Medicago truncatula: one gene and its partner. The protein of the gene in region 2 interacts with the protein of the main gene of each other region in a pairwise test. Links are inferred from orthologs where the notes say so. Each region holds a gene or a part of one and is shown on either strand. Other genes may lie near its edges.

Region 1 (3,928 bases), on a different chromosome or scaffold from region 2:
GGTAGACTTAGGCAGATGTTGTATTCCCCTTGTTTTAGGCTAATAAATTAAATGTGGTATATGACATTTATTATCTATATTTTATTTTATTTTTTCCTTTTTTTAATACTTAAGATTATGTGTCTAATTTGCTAAAAAGATAATATTGTGTGTCTAATTAGGTGAATTTAATTGGTTGATTGTATAAAGTTTTTTACACCGTCAGTCTATTCTAATTAATCTCTTGAAATTTTGCAATTTTGACTTAAATTACTTTGACCATATTTTTCTACTAAAATACAAAGATAAATAATATCATATAAGACGTCGTTAGATTCGTCTCGATGAGTATTTTCAAAATATCATATTTTCATGATTTTTTCTAACATATTATTCAAAATATTTAAGCTCAAAATTATACATTGGCATACGTAATATGATCAACTGTGACATGTATTATGGGACGGATGAGGTACTTTTTTTTATAAATTTACAATGCCTCAGCCAGTGGATTTAGACCATCTCCATTGGAAGGGTCTTAACTATTAGATATCCCAATGAGGAGAATCTTTTTCAGAGTCTTATAAGACCCGGGGTCTTACTTAAGATACAAAAATTATTAGATACTACTGTTAAAAAATTATAAATGAGCGATGTATACACGTGAGATTCATTTAATAACCCAAAAATAAATGTCTCCATTGTGGATGCTTTAGAGCAATATCAAACAATCATTATTTAATACTATGGTCTAGTACCTCTCTTATTTGCTTTTATTTTTTGACAAGGTACCTCTCCTATTGTTTTTATAGCCTTTTTTGTTTATCATAAAAAGGAAAAGAAAAACTATATTAGCAATAATAAATAAATGAAAAAAAACAATAATTCATGAGATTGGGCACTCCTTAACATTCCTTTACACGGATACCAACGTACAGTTAACGGCCGTTTGGTTCCGTTTCCTAAACCAGTCGAACTCCCTCCATCTTGATATCGTATCAACGGTTTCGCGCTCAAAAATGGCCCACAGAGCCAAAACCCTCCAACAAAAACAATCCACGTCATCACACCGAAAAGTGGCCCCACTGATAAAGAGCGTGTCGGGTGCTTAACCTTCGGTTACGGAAAAGACAATCCCTGCAAACGGCGTCTCTTTGTTTACTTTTGCCTTCATCAAATCATCACCACCACTATACTCCACAGGTCCACACCTCAACAACAACACTGACAGAGTAAAATAAAGAATTTAACAAATACTTATAACAAAGACAAAGAAAAAGAATGTGAGTGGAATAAGAAGTGAAAGAGAACGTTGAAATTATCTTCTTCACTCGCTTTACTTACCCATTTATATCATTTTCTCTTATTATTATCTTCACTGTTACCATAGCTATTGAAATGTGCGTTACCAAACTAAGATCTGTGTAAAATTTTGCTGTTGTAAAGAAATGGGAAGTGTTTCGTCGGAAGATGTTTCAGAGCGATGTGGAAGTTACAGTCCGAGTGCTGACATCAGCGAATCGGAAAGTTCTAGCAGCTTCTACGGCCGACGTTTCGACGCGGAAGGAGCTTCCAGCTCGGCAAATCTCTCGCCACGTCAGCTCGCCGCTCATTTCAACTTGCCGGCGACGGCGCAGGTTATGCTTCCGGTCATCGGTGGGAAAGATGTTGCTGTTTGGGATCACAAACGTGACTTGGATTTGACCGGTAGAGTGCTCATTCATGTTATTCTCTTTCGTACAATTGTTGTTGCTTTATGTTTTCTATTCATGAAAAATGTATGAGATTCTGAGATTGAAATTGTGAATTGTGTTAACGGTGTTTTTGTATTTTGCAGAAGTTGAAATGATGAAGGAACGTTTTGCAAAGTTGCTTTTAGGAGAAGATATGTCCGGTGGTGGAAAAGGGGTTTGCACTGCACTTGCAATCTCTAATGCCATCACAAATCTCTCCGGTTAGTTTGTTTTTTTTTCGCGTTTTGCATGTTAGTAACTATGAATTACGGACACGCAGACTGACATGTCGACGACACTGATAATAATAATTTGAAGTAATGAGTAATTCTATGTAATCAGATGTGTCGGTGTTGTATCAGTGACACAACACGTCTCAGACACACATCTTCGTTCAGAATTGTCGGTGCTTTAGAGGTTAATAAAGAAATGCATTTTTGTATGTATGATATGTGTTTTTTTTTTTTTTTTTTTTTTTTTTTTTTTTTTTGTGCATGACTTTGAATTGAAATTGTAATTGCAGCGACTGTGTTTGGTGAATTATGGAGGTTGGAGCCACTAGCACCACAGAAAAAAGCAATGTGGCGAAGGGAAATGGAATGGCTACTTTGCGTGAGTGATTCAATAGTCGAGTTGGTGCCTTCTGTGCAGCAATTTCCAGGTGGTGGAACCTATGAAGTGATGGCGACGCGGCCTCGCTCTGATTTGTACATCAATCTTCCTGCTTTGAAGAAGCTTGATGGAATGTTGCTTAGTATGTTGGATGGATTTTGTGATACTCAGTTTTGGTATGTTGATAGAGGGATTGTGTTGGGTGATTCTAAGGATTGTGATGATTATGGTAGACCTTCTGTTAGGCAAGAAGAGAAATGGTGGCTTCCTTCTCCTAAGCTTCCGCCGAATGGGTTATGTGAGGATGATAGGAAAAGGTTGCAGCAGTGTAGGGATTGTACGAACCAGATACTTAAGGCTGCCATGGCGATTAATAGTTCTGTTCTCGCTGAAATGGAAATTCCTGCTGCTTATGTAGAATCCTTGCCAAGGGTAATAATACTTTGCTTTGCATATAGGAAATAAACTGTGTTCATGGTTAATTTTGGTTTGGTACTCGGTTTATATTTTGTAAAATATGATTATATCATGCTACAATGGTCCATACTAGACAGACATCACTTCTTTTATGCATGTTTGAGTTGCAAGTACTTCTAATTAGTGCTGAAATCAGTTTTATCCATGGTTCAAAACTTCAATAAGCTGAAGTGGAATTCAAAAATGGTTTAGTATTTGGTAGAATGTTTTGAATTTTTTTCGCTAAAATTGGATGAAAACTCAAAATGCCTTTTTGGTTTTACCAATGCAGAATGGCAAAGCTTGTCTTGGGGATATAATATACCGGTACATAACTGCTGGTCAGTTTTCCTCTGAATGTCTTCTGGATTGCTTGGATTTATCATCTGAGCACCACACACAAGATATAGCTAATAGAATTGAGGCTGCTATACATGTATGGAGGTTGAAAGACTATAAGAAACTTAAAAAATCGGGGAAAGCCAGACGGTCTTGGGGTGGAAAGGTAAAGAGCCTTGTCGCTGATGGTGAGAAGAACCACTTTCTTGTCCAACGGGCAGAGACACTACTGCAAAGCTTGAAACGCCGATTTCCCGGGCTTCCTCAAACAGCGCTAGACATGGCCAAGATACAGTATAATAAGGTACATTTTCTCCCTCTTAAAGTTGGGATAAAACTCATAATTCGTTCTATTGATCTGCATCATACATTTCACTCATAATTGCTAGTAGATTGTGTTGAAGTAATATGCAATATATTAGGTGCATCTGATCGGGAAATTATTTCTAGTTTGTTCCAATTAGCATTCAAAAGTTTCAGCAGAAGATATAATCCTGGCATCGGTACATAGATATCATTTTCTAAGTTTCTTGGTTCCCTTATGCCTGTATTTTGTGAGAATAAAAAGAATTTGCTGAGGTCAAGTGCAGTATAAATAGCATTTTCAGTTTCATCATCCATATTGACGATTGATCATTGTATGTCTATGTGATAAGTTTGTGCATGGCTTCTAGTCTGTATGGTTACAGAGGTTGGGCATTGGGACAAGGGAGCTTAAAATCAATGAATAAACTTATTTGGAACGTTGTTTTCCTTGCAGGATGTAGGGCAGTCTATTCTTGAGAGTTATTCCAGGGTGATGGAGAGCT
Region 2 (3,928 bases):
TTGGTCAAGAATGCCTTTCTTGTAGCAATGAGCTGCCCACTCAGCTAGACTCACTTGCTCCTTAGCAAGTGTTGGGTTCAAAGCCGGGCGAGCGCAAAGTACCTCGAATAGAACCACACCAAATGAGTACACATCGGATTTGTCGGTCAGTTGTTGCCTCCTAAAGTATTCTGGATCCAAGTAACCAAAACTACCCTTTACCACGGTACTTACATGAGTATTATCCAATGTAGGACCTGTTTTAGACAATCCAAAATCAGAAACCTTGGCCACCCACTTCTCATCTAGTAAAATGTTTGTAGTCTTCACATCACGGTGGATGATGGTATATTTAGCACCGGTGTGAAGATAGTGTAGACCTCGAGCAGCTCCAATGCATATCTCAAGCCTTTGCTTCCATGGAAGTGGAGGTTTCTGAGTCTTGTATAGATGCTCCCTGAGTGTTCCATATGCCATATGATCATAGACAAGGATCATTTCGGTGTTCTCTTCACAGTATCCGATCAATGAAACAAGGTGTCGGTGACGAAGTTTGGAGAGCATTTCAATTTCAGTTTGGAATTCGTGCACACCCTGCTCAGAGAGTGGATTCCCACGTTTAATTGCAACTTTGGTTGACCCGCCATCAATTTCTCCTTTGTAAACCTTGCCAAATCCTCCCACACCAAGAATCAAAGATTCGTCAAAGTTGTTTGTAGCAGCCTTGATTTCAGCAAATGAGAAATGACGACAAAGGTTTGATGGAAGAGTGGAAGTGTAACTTCCGGTTGTGTTCGTCTTGGCAGAAGCTGCAGAGTGTGAATTACCGTAAAGGGAAAGGGGAAGCCAGCCAGACGGCCCTTCACTTGTACTAGAATCTTTTCCATTCCTACGGCGACGAGACGTGCCAAAAGCAAATAGCCCAATCAAAAGCAATAAAGCAACTCCTCCACCAATACCTCCAGCAATGATTCCTGTATGACTCTTGGATTTACTAGATTTCCTAGCCAATGAAGGATCAATTAAGTCTTGCACCTGAGGAGGAGGAGGGTTTGTCCCTGCCAGATTACCTTTACTATCACTGATTTTGAATATTTCTACTCCATTCAAGATTGCGTCATAGTAATTGGACTTGGAAGCTGTATTTGGATGCAGTGCAAGCCACAGGTCCTGCTGCGGTGGCCCATTGGGAGCAAATACAACATAATCTTTATGCACCGGAACCCCATTTGAATGTGGAAGGTCAAAACTATCTGCCCAGGCAATAACATCAGCCCCGTCCTGAGCAGTTTGATTACCGAGGAATATATCGAATACCCTTTGATTAACCTTAGTTATAGTTGTCGTGCCCTCACAAAAATGAAGTCTCACAAGATAGGAAAACCCAGAATCAATTGAGAAAATCCAAGTCAAGTTCCAATTCAAGCTGATATTGGGATTCGGACCCATCGATCTGGCCGTCACGTAAACATCGGACGGAGCAATATAAGATGGTGTTCCCGGAGGATACTCAAGCTTCACTTCTGGATCAGCAGTCTCGGTAACTCCAAATGCAGCCCCATAAATGTAACGCACATCATCGGTCCATGACCTAAACATGCCGGTATCTTTGGAAGGTGAAATATCATTCCCACCCACGTTTAACCTATAAACATTCTCAAGTGCAGTGCTGTTGTCAATGGTGAAGGTAGTACCCGTACCAACAATCATGGTGGTTCCATCAGTAGAAGTATAAATATCAGGCATGGAAACAACCTCAATCCCATTTACAAATGCATAGGCTTTAGATGCATTGGCAGATGGAGTAAAAGTCACATTCAAGGTTCCTTCATCAACATGAATGCAATATTCCTTCACAATGTAATCGTAATTCAAACCCAAAGCAGTCTCAGAAACACTGAAATTCCTAAGCACGGTGTATGATTGCGCAGTCACACCAAACCGTGCATCGGATGCATTAAGCCCACCATAAGAAGCCGAATAAAAGTACAACCGTAGGAACTTCCAACCGGAAGCCACCGGAAAACTATAGGTATACGGCGATTGAAAAACACGCGCAGTCATAAACGGAATCTGCGGAACTGCAGGATCTTGAGTTGCAGCCTGTGATGTAGTGGATTTTACAGCTGATGAACCAAATTTTGAACCATTATCAGTGGTCCATTCACGGCCATCAGGATCAGTACTAACAGCAGGACCGCCACAATTCAGCAGGATTTTATCTGTTGGCTTAAAATCTGCTGCTAGAACAAGCTCAATAGCTAACACTAAGAACAAAAACAGTGGAACACAAACAAAGTATTTGTTCATGTTCTTCATAATGACCATGAAACACAACAAGTCCAAAACCACAAAATAAACAAAACCCTTGTTTTGTTTTTTGTTTCTAGCTTATTACAATTACAATCTAAACAAACCCAGAATTGTAAAACAAAGAAAGAGGTTAAATTTGATAGAAAGATCTGATTTTTAGAACACCCAGATCGGGAAAGTAAATTGGAAAGAGTTTCCAAAATCAGCAAGGGAAAATGATGAGGTGGATTTAGAGTTAAGAGGAGATTGTTTGAAGAAAGAAAGGTGTAGAAGATGGTGTGAATGAAGGGAAAGTGTAGAAGAAAGAGAAGGGGTTTTACCTTATGCCATGGGAAGAAAGATGAGCTGAAAAAGGAAGCAACTTGGTGAGTCAAAGAGGAGAGATCTTGTTGTGTATGTAGGGTTGGATTAGAAGAAGTTGATGGAGTCAGAAAGTTGCAGAAACAAATAGATAAATGCTGCGACCAAGTTGTAACTCACTAACTTGTAGTTGTAAGAGAAAATGCTAAATTCAATAACCACAAAAGGTTAAAAAAAATAAAAATAGATATACAAATAATGCAAATTAATTCACCCAACAAAAATTGACTTAAAAGGCATCATGCACTAGATCATTTTAAAAAAAATAGATTGACATCTAATAAAAATTCACCATTTACAAATTAAACTCACTAACCAGTAACATGATCAATTTCGTCGTAATGAGCATAGCTCAAGTGGACAATGATATTGCAATAAACAAGAGTTGATGTTCAAACTATAGGTTATCCACTTAACTATTTGATGAAAAAATAATCAATTTCAAACCTATAAGTGTAACTTATTTACTTCATGAGGGAAACCAAATTTACACTCAATCATGTAAATTATCCTACCTAATGCCCAGTGAAAATAATACTAATTTTGAAATTAGTTTTTATTTACTAAAATAAATTATAAGCTCATTTAATTTAAAGAGTACAATTCCTTTTAATTTTATTTATTTTAATTACCTAAAAAATATATTTATTTTAAAAACTAGTTTTCTTAATAGAATGACAAAGGAGAAGAAAAGGAAAAAAGAACGCTATGAATAATTATTCAAAAAAAAAAAAACGTTATGAATAATGTAATGTTTAGGACAACAAGTCTCAACATAATCTTCAACTCCAATAGAAAATTTGTCAAAAAATCACAGCTAACCTTAAAGAACACAAAAAAGAAGAAGGTTATTTTAGTAACATTATTTTTACTAGTTAAATTTAACTTTAAAGTATATCATTTTAGATATAGTTGGTAACATTTTCCAATTACATATAGTAGTTACTAATATTAATGGTAGGAGAGAATTGAACCGTATCCTAATTTCAAATCTTATTGCCTTTATTGTAAAAATAAGTTCTCTAACCACACCTTTATACGTGAATATTTTGTATCTATTGATCGTTAAATTATCTTATTAATAAAGCTCCACATGACTTAGTTTTAGTTAGTGAGGCTCCTTTTTGAAATTACCCGTAATAGTTCACACCTAAATTTTCTCCTTTTAAGCTTTTGAATGAATCTTTACATTTTTGTTTCTTGCTCCTTGACTTTTGCGGTATGCGTAAATGGAGGCGATACTTGTTCAATTTGACGATGATGTGATTATTTTTTT

The links.
Region 1: the proteins of receptor-like protein kinase FERONIA (region 2) and rop guanine nucleotide exchange factor 1 interact in binary tests that used the Arabidopsis thaliana proteins (3 or more experiments, as listed by UniProt). The link is inferred for Medicago truncatula from reciprocal best matches to the Arabidopsis thaliana genes FER and ROPGEF1.

What each region holds. Positions count from the first base shown.
Region 1 is NC_053045.1:36,885,038-36,888,965, reverse strand, and holds the start of rop guanine nucleotide exchange factor 1, read left to right. Parts: upstream 1-1,160; 5' UTR 1,161-1,427; coding exon 1,428-1,686; intron 1,687-1,816; coding exon 1,817-1,933; intron 1,934-2,235; coding exon 2,236-2,756; intron 2,757-3,072; coding exon 3,073-3,423; intron 3,424-3,879; coding exon 3,880-3,928. UniProt on the Arabidopsis thaliana protein: Guanine-nucleotide exchange factor (GEF) that acts as an activator of Rop (Rho of plants) GTPases by promoting the exchange of GDP for GTP. Acts downstream of PRK2 in the control of polarized pollen tube growth by activating ARAC11/ROP1.
Region 2 is NC_053048.1:34,220,491-34,224,418, reverse strand, and holds the start of receptor-like protein kinase FERONIA, read right to left. Parts: upstream 2,787-3,928; 5' UTR 2,308-2,786; coding exon 1-2,307. UniProt on the Arabidopsis thaliana protein: Receptor-like protein kinase that mediates the female control of male gamete delivery during fertilization, including growth cessation of compatible pollen tubes ensuring a reproductive isolation barriers, by regulating MLO7 subcellular polarization upon pollen tube perception in the female gametophyte synergids.